3 linked regions of the Oryzias latipes genome follow. The protein of the gene in region 2 purifies or fractionates together with the protein of the main gene of each other region. This does not show direct contact. Links are inferred from orthologs where the notes say so. Each region holds a gene or a part of one and is shown on either strand. Other genes may lie near its edges.

Region 1 (4,148 bases), on a different chromosome or scaffold from region 2:
TTTTATTTCTGATGTGTACTACAGTTTTTTTTTTTTTTCCTGGAGACTATGTGTTTTCTTGGAGTGTGAAAACTCGCATTGTGGGGAAAAACATGCTAGCTAAAGAGACCTGGCAACAATGCTTCATTTGGATGATGGATTTACTAAACTCATAAATCAGGAAATGTATTTTAGATGCATATCTGCATCAGAAAGGAATTTTCAACAATGGAAGGTGAGACTGAAAGACGGACATACTTGAGCAAAATTTGTACTTTTTGGTCTTCCATCACTCAAAAACAAATATATATTGCTCTTAGTTTACATTTTTTTTAAAGAAAAACATTCACATTTTAGATTTCTTACTTTAGCAACAATATATTTGTCTTAAATATAAAAAACTCACACAGACGTATTTATATGCAGCAATTAGCAAGAACATATTAGAAATAGCTAAATTCACAAGAACATTTTAGTACCTTCTTCAATGCTTCCAGTTTTGGCATCCTTCTTTTTCAGTTTTTTCTTGGAAATCTTCTGAAAGGGGGCAAACTCCACCACTGCAGGATATTCTTGACCTAAAAATTTTTTTTTTTAATTTGTTATTTAGCAGATAATCAAGTTAATAGTTTAACTTAAAGGCCATAAATGTGCCTACAGAGAATATTACAGTTTGTGTTTTGTTATTTGTAGTTATTATAAACAAAGTCAAAGAAATTTGAACCAATACCTTTGTTGTCGATAAAGACGTAGCCGTCAAATCGATCCCTGAACAACACGATATCCTCAGTGTTTTTAAAATTGATATATGCTCTTGAAAAAAGGTGGGGATACAGACTGCAATAAAAAAAGAAGGAAAAAAATAAAATTAAGAATATAAAACATATTTATTGAAAAAATGAGTAGTTTTTCAAACAAGTAATAAATCACAACACACCTTTGATCTGCTGAGAAGAACTCAAAGTAATCATACGATGGGAGCGGACTTAGTTGTTCTTCAAGCTGTTCTTTTGAAAGGTTAGGTGGCAGTCTTCTGATCACAACCTGTGTACAACCAGTTACTCCAAGGTTATTAACTGCTGTTCTCAATGAGTGTAAAGTCTCTCCACAAACTTTCAGAATTAACTTTATTTAAAAAAAAAAAAAAAACTATCAGTCCTGACCAAAAGCTTGACAAGTTCAAACATTTTTTTCAAATCATTACCGACTCATTTAAGCAGACTAATAAAACTAAATACTGGAACCTGTAAAAGAAAGATGCAGGATATGACATGGAATACACAATTATTTTAAATGTAGTTAAAGCTACAACAAAAGTATTTCTGTATGATACTTTTAAAAATGTATTTGGCTAGTTTTCAAAATATGTTTATCCTACTATATAACAGCATCAAAATGGGCAACAGTCAACAGACAACAAATCCTGAAGTGCAACAGGATATGCAGAAAATTAAATAACCAAAAAATAAAAAAAAGATGTTTTGAGTGACATGGAAAGATCTTTTAAGTTATTTTACTGATTTCTCACCCTTGTTTGTTTCCACATTTTAAATATTCAATTCCTGAAAACAGTCTACTGTGCCAAAAGAATAATAGAAACATGTCCTCGTCGGCCTGTTTTATTACTGCTGCCACTTAAAAATGAGTGCAGTTGTTTTTAAACAAAGCAGGTTAAATTTATTGACATGGGTTCAGAAAGCATTATGAAATAGTTAAAATAGGGGTCTGCAACTTAAAGCTCCAGACCCACATGTGGGTCTTTTACCTTTCATAGTAGCTCGCTGGCTAAAGACAAATAAAATGATAGTAATTACATCCTAAAGTGAGGGTTTGTCTGTTTGATTTATTTAAATTTGTTAGGTTTTATAAAATCACAGGTCCAGTACCTGTGATTCTATATTTTGTCTATTGCATCATAAAATAATAAAGTCATGTTCACGCACGCACACACACATACACACACACACACACACACATATATATATATATATGTCAGCAGCAGTAATAGGAGTTATAGGGAAAAGGTGCCCACCAAGGAAGACCTAGGTTATAACAAGAGAAAATGCCTTTATTGACTCATTGTTTTAAAATTTGATAGGAGTGTACTAGCGACACAGGAATGACCCTATTAGAATATATTTTATTTAAAAGAAAGACATGCAATTCTTCATCAAAATAAAAACAAAAAAACAATTTCATTTTTTTCCAATAATTTTTCTCTGACAGCTTTTAATTTTAGTCAAGCCAAATAAATAAGTGGATAAATACAATTTCAACATATTTCAACAGTAACAACGATACGAATGCAGAGCAGTGTCAAAATATGTGAAAGGGTAAAAAAGACTTTAGGTAATCCGTGAGAAAAAGCCCAAATGGCTCTTTTGGTATTAAAGGCTGCTGACTCCCACTGTTTGTTCCGTCTTTCATTTTTAAAAGATATGGAGCCACATAATGTGACATTGTTGTGAGGTAAAGATGAAATATTTGCTAAACATAGTGGAAATGATTGAAAATCGTGCATTTACAGTCTTTTTCGCTGTCCTCGGTGCTGAAATGATCAGCCACTTCCTCCATGTCTGTTGTCTTCATCAAGAGTAAACAATACGGCGCGTACCAAAACGCTGCTTCACTCACCTTTGAAAAGACCTCCTTCTTCTCTTCTTTTTGTTTGAGATGGCAACCTGGGCTCTCCTGCTCTCTTGGAATGTCCTTAAATTGTATTTCGACACTTTTCTCCGTGTCCACGGCCATTTGGTCCTTTTCAGACCTCATTTCTCTACATCTCCTACGAGCTGTGTGCTCGCGATAACTCACGAAAGTTATCGCGAGAGTACGCGTAGATCGATGTTGGATGCGGGTGTTATGTTTAATGAAAACATATATTTGAGTACTTTAGTTACATAATGATGTTATGTGTGACCTTCATTAACACTTATTTTGTAACGAGTAGAAGAAAAAGGCAAACAATAATTCAATACATATTTTGACATAAACGCTGTTCATCTCCATATGCTCCCTCTTCTTACCGCGCAGCTGGGATGATGATCTACGCGATCCGTTCGCCATCGCTTGTGATCGGATTACTGGAAACTGCGCTTCCCTCAAAGCTGGAGGACCGAATCACTGACAACCCCTGAACATCTCGAGAGGGAACTAGAGAAAACAGAACCAAAATGGAGAAACCACATATTTGTTAAAGTTTCATATGGGACAGGAATATTGATTACAAACTGGTAGAGATATTTTTGTTTTGACGAAAACATTTATTTGACAATTTTTTTTAATTATTTTTTATCAGTCTCACCATTTAAAAACGCCTGCTTCCCGCTGCTGTTCTCGGCGCGCACTCGGGGTCTCTCCGGTGTGGAAACGGAGCTCCTCAGGCTGCTGGAGAGGAGCGTGGAGCAGGTGTCCAGATCCCTGCAGACCCGCTCATTAGTGCAAATACCTGTGGACTTGGACGGAGTACAACCCATCCCTCCTCCAGAAACAAACACTCTTAGATCTAGTGGTGGAAAGACAGTCAGGAAAGGATGGTGGGATGTTGCCCCTTCAAGCAGAAGTCTCTCCTCCCCTCACATGGAAGACAGAGGACTCTTCTAAACAGACAAGAAGTTAGCCTCAGTCTCAGGAGTTAATTTGAGCGCACAAAAAGCTCAATGGTTCCCACAAATTGCTAAGGCAGCCCTGTGACCCCGAAAGGGTACATGGATTCTGCGGACACAATTTAGTATTTTGTGCACACAAATTTGCATTTTATGGCCACAATTTGGTATTTTGTGCACACAAATGAGCATTTTATGACCACAATTTTGGATTTTTTTGCACACAAATTGCGACAGACTGGCGAGCTGTCCAGGGGGTCCCCTGCCTTCACCCACAAGTTGGCGGGATAGGCTCCGGGAGCCCTGTGACCCCGAAAGGGTCAAAATGGAAGATGAATGAATGCACACGAATTTGCATTTGCGGACACAATTTAGTATTTTGTGCACACAAATTTGCATTTTATGGCCACAATTTAGTGTTTTGCACACAAATTTACATTTTGTGGCCACAATTTGGTATTTTGTGCACACCAATAAGCACTCTGATGCCACAAATTAGTAGTAAGTGCACAAATATTAGCATTTTATGGCCACAATTTGGTGTTCTGAACACAAATTTGCATT
Region 2 (4,234 bases):
ACAGGTTTAATGTTCGATCTAATGTCAAGACAAGATGTGTTTCAGTTCTTGACGTGAAATAATGGAAGGAATTGAGCGATGAATTAAAATGACGTAATTCTCAGTTAAAAGAAAAAAAGTCTAAAACATATTAAAGGTTACAAAACACAGATGTAGAAGGACTTTGTTTACTTGTCTCCATTTATTAAGGACTGTTTCCTACTTTTTGGTTTGTTAAACTGATTAACTTGGACATTGAAGGACAGGCATATAATAAGCTTCATATGCTTCTGCCTATTTTTTTAATTAATTGTTTATACTGTATGTTAGGTAAACAATGCAAATGACAAACTAAACTAAACCAATAAAACCAAAGCAGACATTTCTAAATACTCCAGTGGAAAAGCCGGGTCTGTTCGGATGAACACAGAACTGATATCCTGCTAACGGAAAACATTTTTTTAGCCCAATTAGGTGAAATGGAATTTTTTTCCAGTTATAAACTGGTTGAAAAACACTGCACCAAAAGAGAAAAACATATTTTTTTTGAGTGAAAATACAGTGACAGTCAGGCTTTAAGTATCCTCAGACTCGTTTTAAAACTGAAAAACAACCCTTTGAAATCTGACAATTATTATAATACAGTTCTGATCACAAAGTGCAGATGTCAGACGGTTTCCTCCTTCACTGAGCAGACCGTGAAGTAACAAACTGCAGAAAGGTCAACCCTCTTCTTCTCACGGCCCCCCAAATGCTTTTCTCATCCATTTTTGTGTCGTGCAGTTAGACCAGAATTATGCCAAAGCTTTTATTTTGGTGGAAAAGTCAAAGACTCAACACTGAGCATTTTAGCCTTTAGTGGCGGCCAAACACCAATAAGACGGAAAGAAAATCCCTCAGTAATAATAAAGCCGAAATAGTTTGTTTTTCATACGACTGTTCTTAAATATCAGCTTCACTTCACAGAAACTAAAGTGCTGCTACAAAAGGGCAGTCCAGGCTCTCTCTTAACCCCTTCACGCAACTGTTCTGAGAACACAACAGCCTTATTTTAGCAACCAACTTTCTTTTCTACAAGTATTATAAAATATATGATTAAATCCTACTGAATGAAATCTTCCACATCATTAATATGATGACTTCCATCCTTCCCTCTGATAATTACTGCCTAAATGCTTGTTTTTAATGTTGATCAAATATTCACTTCTTCCGCTTAGATGTTCATTGGAACATAAGCAACATTTGACATCCAAATGTTGTGTCTTTAAAATACAAAATGTGTTCAAAGAAAAAGGAAATGGTTTAAACTCACCTTCAGATAGCCAGTTCTGCGATCCAGATTAAGATGGAGGTTCTTGATTTCCCCAAACTCTGAGAACTTATCGTGGATGTCTTCCTCTGTGGCCTCCTCGTGCACGCCCGTCACAAACAGGATCCAGCCTTCTACAGCTGCAGAGAGGGGAGGGAACAGGGCATCAGACACCCAAACCCCCCAGTCTCCACACCAAGACAAGCAGATGAGTTTACCTGACCTGCTGGCATTCACGCAGTTTCAAAAGTAAAAGTCTGCATTGTTTCAGAGCAGTTTTTTAGTTTTTGCATAGGTCAAAATTAAAACGCAGCCGTGAAACTGATTTATAACTTTTAAACAATGAACTTTAGGTTAAATTAAATTAGTTATCTGCAGCTGTGATGCAGAGGTAGACCTTCAATCAAAAGTTCAGTTCCTGCCTTGCCTGCCCATGTGTGGACGTGTCTTTTGGGCAAGACACTTAAACCCCACAACGCTCGTGGGGGTTACAGGCTGTGACTGTGCATGGGACTGGGACTTTCAAGCCCTTAGTGGCTTAGTAAAGGTAGAAAAGCACAACATTGACCATTTATTCTATAATCAAATTAAATAAATAAAATAAAAAAAAATACACACAAAGATCTTAGATTTTTTACAATCTAAGTGTGACTACAGCTTGTTAATTTGCTTCTATCTGAACATGAAGGTCACTTGTAACACCTACATCTCTGAGGCCCAGGCTCATCTCCGTCCTGTTCCACAGTATCATAGTCCTCTTTGGCTCTGGACCGGGCCCCATCATCTGGAATCAAAAACTTAGAATCAAAACCAAACCCTAAGAAGTCAAGAAAAATAAAGGGAAAAATGCTTTGAAAGCTCACCTGCACCAAAACCTCGTCCTTTCCTCTTCTTGGCTTTCTCCTTTAACTTGTGGATGCTTTCTGCAAACAGACGAATAAAAGCCTAAGGACGCCGTTTTCAGTTTCCTTTAATTCACAAGAGTTTAGTTTATGAAGTTCTCAAATGGAGTAACTATATGTGTTTTTGGGTTGTTTTTTTAGGAACAATGTGCAATTTTTAAATCGACGTTTTTTCTCTCATCTGCGCAACACTAACAGCATGTAGCCGTTGGCTAACATGGATGCTAGCGCTAGCTTAATAGAAAACAAAACAGCTTTAACGTGCAGAGAAAAATACAGTCCGTTTAAATAATTAACATTTTAAAAGCGGCCCTCGCAAACACAGACGGCTGCACCCCCGCTGAGAGGCTCGCTAAGTGGATGAATGACCGCCTTTCGTTGAGTTAGCTGGATGCTAACACGGCTGCGGCCCGCTAACAAACACGCAGTCTGGGCTGAGCGTGATTCTGACCGCACGTGCGGCTATTTGAATTTCATTATTTGGCTGGCAGGACTGCGGTGCGTCCGCCTCTAATTGTGTAAAACAACGCAATACCGTCACCATCCTCATCCATAGGAAAGTCTTCTCCTCCCGCCTCATGAAGGTCCAACACGTCCGCCATGATGTCTGTTTGACTGAGTACGAACAGCGCATGCGCACGGAGAATCACTAAAGAGTCTGAGTACGTAACTTCCGTAAAGATTTTTTTTTAAACTTTATTGTACAAAACGTAAGTAAGTTTAATACAAAACACAATTTTGCTAAGTAAACTTCAGATATGCCAGGGTAGCATACATATTACAGGAGTTTTAGATAAAAAAAAACATTCAGATTTCAACAACTTTCATACAAACATGCAGCTTTCTGATTAAGACTTTTGGAGATGTTACTGAGATACATTTAAATTTGTTTGATTAATAACACAGGGAAAAAATAGGAGATGAAGAAAATTTGCATTTATTAATATAAAATTAGTCAAATATAATAATAAGATTAATAATGAGTTTTTATTTGAAAATGAAATTTTTGTTATTAATTTTTAGTGCAGAGTTTTATTATAATATTCATGATTAATATCACATGTGTTACTGGTAAAAATGCATAATATTAAACGATAATTTATGTTTTAATAATCATGATTTCTAATTTATCCCTTATGAAATAATTTACATTTATCATCATGAAAACTTTTTATTTTTGCAAAGCATTTTAACTGAAACTGCTTTCATTGGGCTTGAGATGATTGTTTTACGTGGTTTGTGCTTTTTATCTTTTATGTTTTTATATGTATATATATATATATATATATATATATATATATATATATATATTTTAACCTGTGATCTTTGTCTGTGAAAGGTGCTATGCAAATAAAATTTACTTACTTACTCAATCATGATATTAATAAATAATCATGATTTTTTATACTTTAGTGTGGACAATTTAATGCAATATAATTAATGATATATTTGTTATTAATAGCATTGTTAAAATTTCCATGCCATATATTTTCAAGAATTGAAAATTGTTGTTATCTTGGTATTATATTTAGTGTCATCACTGATATAATGAGAACAATGAGAAATGTATACATTTGTTTTAAACATTAGTGTCAACATTCACACAACAAAAATATGATTTAAAATACTTTATTATACTGCAAGGGATAGCATTTCTATTATTAAAATTGTGACTATACTTGTTATTAATATTAGAGTTGCAATTTCTATCATAATTATTATTAGTACATTCTGTGTTAATATTGATGTCAAGGTTTTAGAATCAGAATCATCTTTATTACTAATAAGAGCATGACTGCACATGTAAGGCATTTGACTGTAGTGTTGTCTGCAAACTTCAAGAGTTTCACAGAAGTTTATATTTGTGATTGATACAATATTTGTGATTTACACGACTGTTTACATATTTATTAGATTAATCATTACTTAATTAATTGTAATATTATTTTCATTGCTACAGTCAGAACTTCAGCTTTCTGGGTGAAATAGTTTTTACCATCATCTATTTTTTTATCAGGAGGAGGAATGATTAAAAAAAAAAAAA
Region 3 (4,148 bases), on a different chromosome or scaffold from region 2:
ATGTGAGGTGTTTTCTGTTCATGTGGTGCACAAAGGAAATAAATTATTTCCTCACAAACATGGAAGACATTCTTTCTCCCCGACAAGTGTCGGATCTGTGGGACATTTTGAGAAGAACTCATTGAATTTCTATTCCGTTTTTCCCTTTCGGGGTCACGGGGCTGCCGGAGCCTATCCCGGCCACTTGTGGGCGAAGGCAGGGGACACCCTGGACAGTTCGCCAGTCTGTCGCAGGGTAGAATGTCCACAATCACACACCCATTCACACTCACACTCACACCTATGGACAATTTAGATTAACCAATTAACCTATGAAGCATGTTTTTGGACAGTGGGAGGCAGCCGGAGACCCCGGAGAAAACCCACGCATACACGGGGAGAACATGCAAACTCCACACAGAAATGTCCCCCATTGATGTTCTGTTTCAGGTCCCCCAGCCGGGACCTGAACCGGGGGCCTTCTTGCTGTGAGGCAACCACTGCGCCACTGTGCAGAGAAGAGAAGAACTGCGAAGCAAAAAAAAAAAAAAGGGAAATGTAAAAAACACACATATTTTACCCAGATATAGAAATCCAAAACTCACCATGAACTGATTTACATGTCATGTTAAAGCTAAAAGCTGAACGGAAGTCATTAGTTTGTAGCTAAAAAACTGATGTGGAACAACAGATGTGTCATTTGTTCCTAGTACATACATGTAAATGTCTCGACAGATTTTACGACATACATGGAGGAGAACGCTGAAGAGTCGATGAATAAAGAACATGTTAGTTTAGGAGAGGTGGCTGTCAGTTTATGACTGGACTGTTCATCAAGAGGAATAAAACGGATGAGTCACAGAGAAGTCATGAAACAGAGGAGAGCAAGCCAGACTGAAGTCAGAGCTGAACATTTGTGAACAACACCTTGGTTTCATGCAGAGAGAGACAACCACAGACGATTTGCTCTGGGAAGGAGGTGAATGAAGGTCAGCTGGGGGAAAAACAGAGTATCGTTGGCGTTGCTCACTTCATCAACGACCACCGGGCACGGCGGGTCGTTCTGGAACAGGATCCGGGCTGCAGACAGTCTCTCCTCCAGGCTCTGGTGCTGACTGATGTCATAGTTGTTGGAGGCCCAGCCATCAACTTTGACAAACTGACTTTGAACATTTTCAATTCATAGCAATCTGTTTCTGTAATTTTTCTTTTGTAATACATGTATCTATGTACCATCCCCTGGCATTCTCGTTTTTAATGACTGTTGTTCTTGTTATACATATTTGTTCTATTTGTTTTGAACAATAAAGTTTAAGAAAAAAACTTTGACAAACTGACTGTGACGGAACGGTGCGATAGGGGGCGCCAGACCCCCGACTCGGTTACATTCCCGTCAACGAAGAAGAAGAGCAGGGAACGTCTGCCGGGTCACGGTACCACCGCACCGAACCAGTGCCGGGTCACGGTACCACCGCAGCCTCAGCAGCCCTTGTTCGCAGTAGTTAGCGCCATGGCGGCGGTGCGCAGCCTGCGGGTATCGGTGAAACCAGACAGCGGCTCAGAGCACTCGGAACCGGATTCCGAGTCGGACCGAGATGACGCTCGCGAAGCCGAACCGATGGAGGTGGAGGAGGGCGAGGTGGATGCAGAGGATATCTCCGTTAACCGCTCTCTGAAGGAGCTTCTGCCGGTAAGACCCCGAACTACTTAGGCCCGCAGAGCCGGGGACTGGAGTTTTGCTTCAACATACAGAGTCGGCATGCGATTATTACCCGAAGCTCCGTCTAGTAGTTCCAGGAATTAGTCGGTGACGGGCGCCGCTGTTAATGCTCGCTGCAGCCACGGGGATTTTCTCTTTTCTGGGCCCCTTAGCCAATAGAGAGTTGTTGTGTCGCTCACCTGTTGATCTTTACTTACCTAAGAAACGGCGGTGAGTTTGGAGAATCCGTCTAAAAACGTGCATATATTATAAGCAGAGCTTTCTGCGGGGATTCAGCTAAAATGATCGATTAGCTACTGTCAGTCCATTATAATTATAACCCAGTCTCAGGTCCGGGCCAGCCCATTTATGACCTAGTCTAAGTCTGGGTCATTCCATCATGACCCGGTCTTGAACCAGCTCAGTAGCCTTGGGTTAGTGTCCGCCCTGTGACTGGAAGGTCGTGAGTTCAAATCCAGCCCGAGTCATACCAAAGCCTCTAAAAATGGGACCCAATGCCTCCCTGCTTGACACTCAGCATAGGGGTTAGATTGGGGGAGTTAATGAATAACCCCCTATATGGTGGATTAACTTAATCCACCATAAAGTTCCGTCCGAGCGCGGCTGTGTCCGCAGCTCACCGCTCCCCCAGGGGTGGGGTCAAATGTGGAGAACAAATTTCACATACCTAGTTAGGTGTGTGAAAGTTAACGGTACTTTAAGTTGTACTTTTCTTTAGTCTGGCTCGGCCCATTATGACCCGGTCTGGCAGATGACCTAGTTCTGCCCGCTCTGTCTCTGCAGGACACCAGCCGGCGTTACGAGAACAAGGCCGGAGCGTTTATCACCGGGATTGACGTCAACTCAAAGGTACCGCAGCCTCATCACGCAGCTGCCATGTGATCAGCTCGTTGTTGGTAAAAAGCATTGAAAGCATGAAATAAAGTTCCAGTCCAGGTCCAAAAGTGCAAGGCCTCATGAAAAAGAACCTCACTGAATCACCCACCTGGGTGCCGACCTCTCCAAGCCTGGCTTGGGAACGCCTCGTCTCTCCTCAGACTGCTGCCTCTGCCACCCAGACGATCAGAAGAAAGTAGACGTGTGACCTGCCTTCACCTCCAACCACAAACCATTAACTCTGACGTGAAGGAAGCTGTTACCATGGTAGCCAACTACAAACCGGGGTATGACACAGTTGTTTGTGTTTTAGGAGGCGATTGAGAAGAAGGAGAAGCGAGCGCGACGTTTCCATTTCTGCGGCGAGCAGAGCGTCAGTCAGAAGGCCGTCGTCCTGGACAAGGAAACCATAAAGAAAGGTGGGGGTGGCTCCGGGTTTTGTCGTGTCCCGAGGTGGTGTTGGTGTATTGTTGACGTTGTCGTCTGCTTCAGCCATTCCCCGCCTGCGGCTGGAGGCGCTCCACGTCACGGGCGTGGACGACATGAGCACGCAGGACATCTTCGGCTATTTTAAGGAGTATCCTCCCGCCCACATCGAGTGGATTGACGACGCGTCATGTGAGCGCACGAACGTTTGCAGGACGACAGGAAACCCAAAGAGGGTCCTGAGGTTTAACCACCGCTTCCATCCTTCAGGTAACGTGGTCTGGTTGGACGATGACACCTCCATCCGAGCGCTCATCAACACTAGCAGAATGCCCGACCCGGAGGCCGTTACCACGGAGACCGGAGAGCAGCCAGGCAAAGAGAGCAAAGGTCAGCGAGTGGAAACATGCTCTGACTTTCCGAGGCCGCAGTGCAGCCTGGGTAATGGCTCTATCTGCACACAACAGCTCAGCGAGGTCCAGACTCAGAGGATGAGGAAGAGGAGGGTGAGGTGGGCGATGAAGAGGACGGGGCAGCCAGAAGGAGCAGTGAAGTGCAGGAGGAGCAGCAGCCGAAGGAGCGCGGAACACAGGTAGCTGTCACCAACCGCACAAGCTCATTGGTCAGTCAGAGAGTGGGGGGTGGGGGGTCTAAAGCTGCGTTCACACTGAACGGGAGTGAAGCGTCAGAAAGATTCTGGCGAGCGGTGAATATTCTGGCTGAACTTTGGTCACGAATTCGCGTCACGTCAACCAATCAGGGAGTCAGCTTTAGCCCAGGATGCTTTGATGACGTGATCAGCATCTGGAGGCCAAAACCAACATGGAGGACAATCTGACCGCTCTCCTCCTTAACTTTATGATTTTTCTTTTTTCCATAGAGACAAAAATAAAAAAAAATTCTGGGATTTTCCAAACCTTTAGCCCCTCCCACACACAGCAGGAGCGTCAGGTTTACGACAAGCTTCCAGGAGCAAATTTAGCGCGTGTCAAAACGGAGGAAACAAATTCGCCAGGAGAATTGAGTTTGCAGTAAACTCAGCAAGAGGCTGGAGTCAGGAGGAGCTGTTGACACGTTTATGTGTGTGTTTATGTGTGTGTGCACGACTCAGGTGGACGACCTGTCGCGGGCGGAGAGAGAGTCGCTG

What was found.
Region 1: the proteins of rbm8a (region 2) and regulator of nonsense transcripts 3A purify together in Homo sapiens (co-immunoprecipitation; 4 studies listed by BioGRID and IntAct, with this or other methods). This does not show direct contact. The link is inferred for Oryzias latipes from reciprocal best matches to the Homo sapiens genes RBM8A and UPF3A.
Region 3: the proteins of rbm8a (region 2) and ncbp3 purify together in Homo sapiens (co-immunoprecipitation; 3 studies listed by BioGRID and IntAct, with this or other methods). This does not show direct contact. The link is inferred for Oryzias latipes from reciprocal best matches to the Homo sapiens genes RBM8A and NCBP3.

What each region holds. Positions count from the first base shown.
Region 1 is NC_019879.2:7,277,960-7,282,107, forward strand, and holds the start of regulator of nonsense transcripts 3A, read right to left. Parts: upstream 2,801-4,148; 5' UTR 2,752-2,800; coding exon 2,614-2,751; intron 1,024-2,613; coding exon 917-1,023; intron 817-916; coding exon 710-816; intron 558-709; coding exon 459-557; intron 1-458. UniProt on the Homo sapiens protein: Involved in nonsense-mediated decay (NMD) of mRNAs containing premature stop codons by associating with the nuclear exon junction complex (EJC) and serving as link between the EJC core and NMD machinery.
Region 2 is NC_019874.2:29,126,616-29,130,849, reverse strand, and holds the start of rbm8a (RNA-binding protein 8A), read right to left. Parts: upstream 2,801-4,234; 5' UTR 2,793-2,800; coding exon 2,732-2,792; coding exon of another isoform or gene 2,726-2,731; intron 2,212-2,725; coding exon 2,152-2,211; intron 2,073-2,151; coding exon 1,995-2,072; intron 1,429-1,994; coding exon 1,292-1,428; intron 1-1,291.
Region 3 is NC_019872.2:24,107,090-24,111,237, forward strand, and holds the start of ncbp3 (nuclear cap-binding protein subunit 3), read left to right. Parts: upstream 1-1,348; 5' UTR 1,349-1,489; coding exon 1,490-1,669; intron 1,670-2,482; coding exon 2,483-2,548; intron 2,549-2,888; coding exon 2,889-2,994; intron 2,995-3,067; coding exon 3,068-3,193; intron 3,194-3,271; coding exon 3,272-3,391; intron 3,392-3,468; coding exon 3,469-3,593; intron 3,594-4,112; coding exon 4,113-4,148. UniProt on the Homo sapiens protein: Associates with NCBP1/CBP80 to form an alternative cap-binding complex (CBC) which plays a key role in mRNA export. NCBP3 serves as adapter protein linking the capped RNAs (m7GpppG-capped RNA) to NCBP1/CBP80.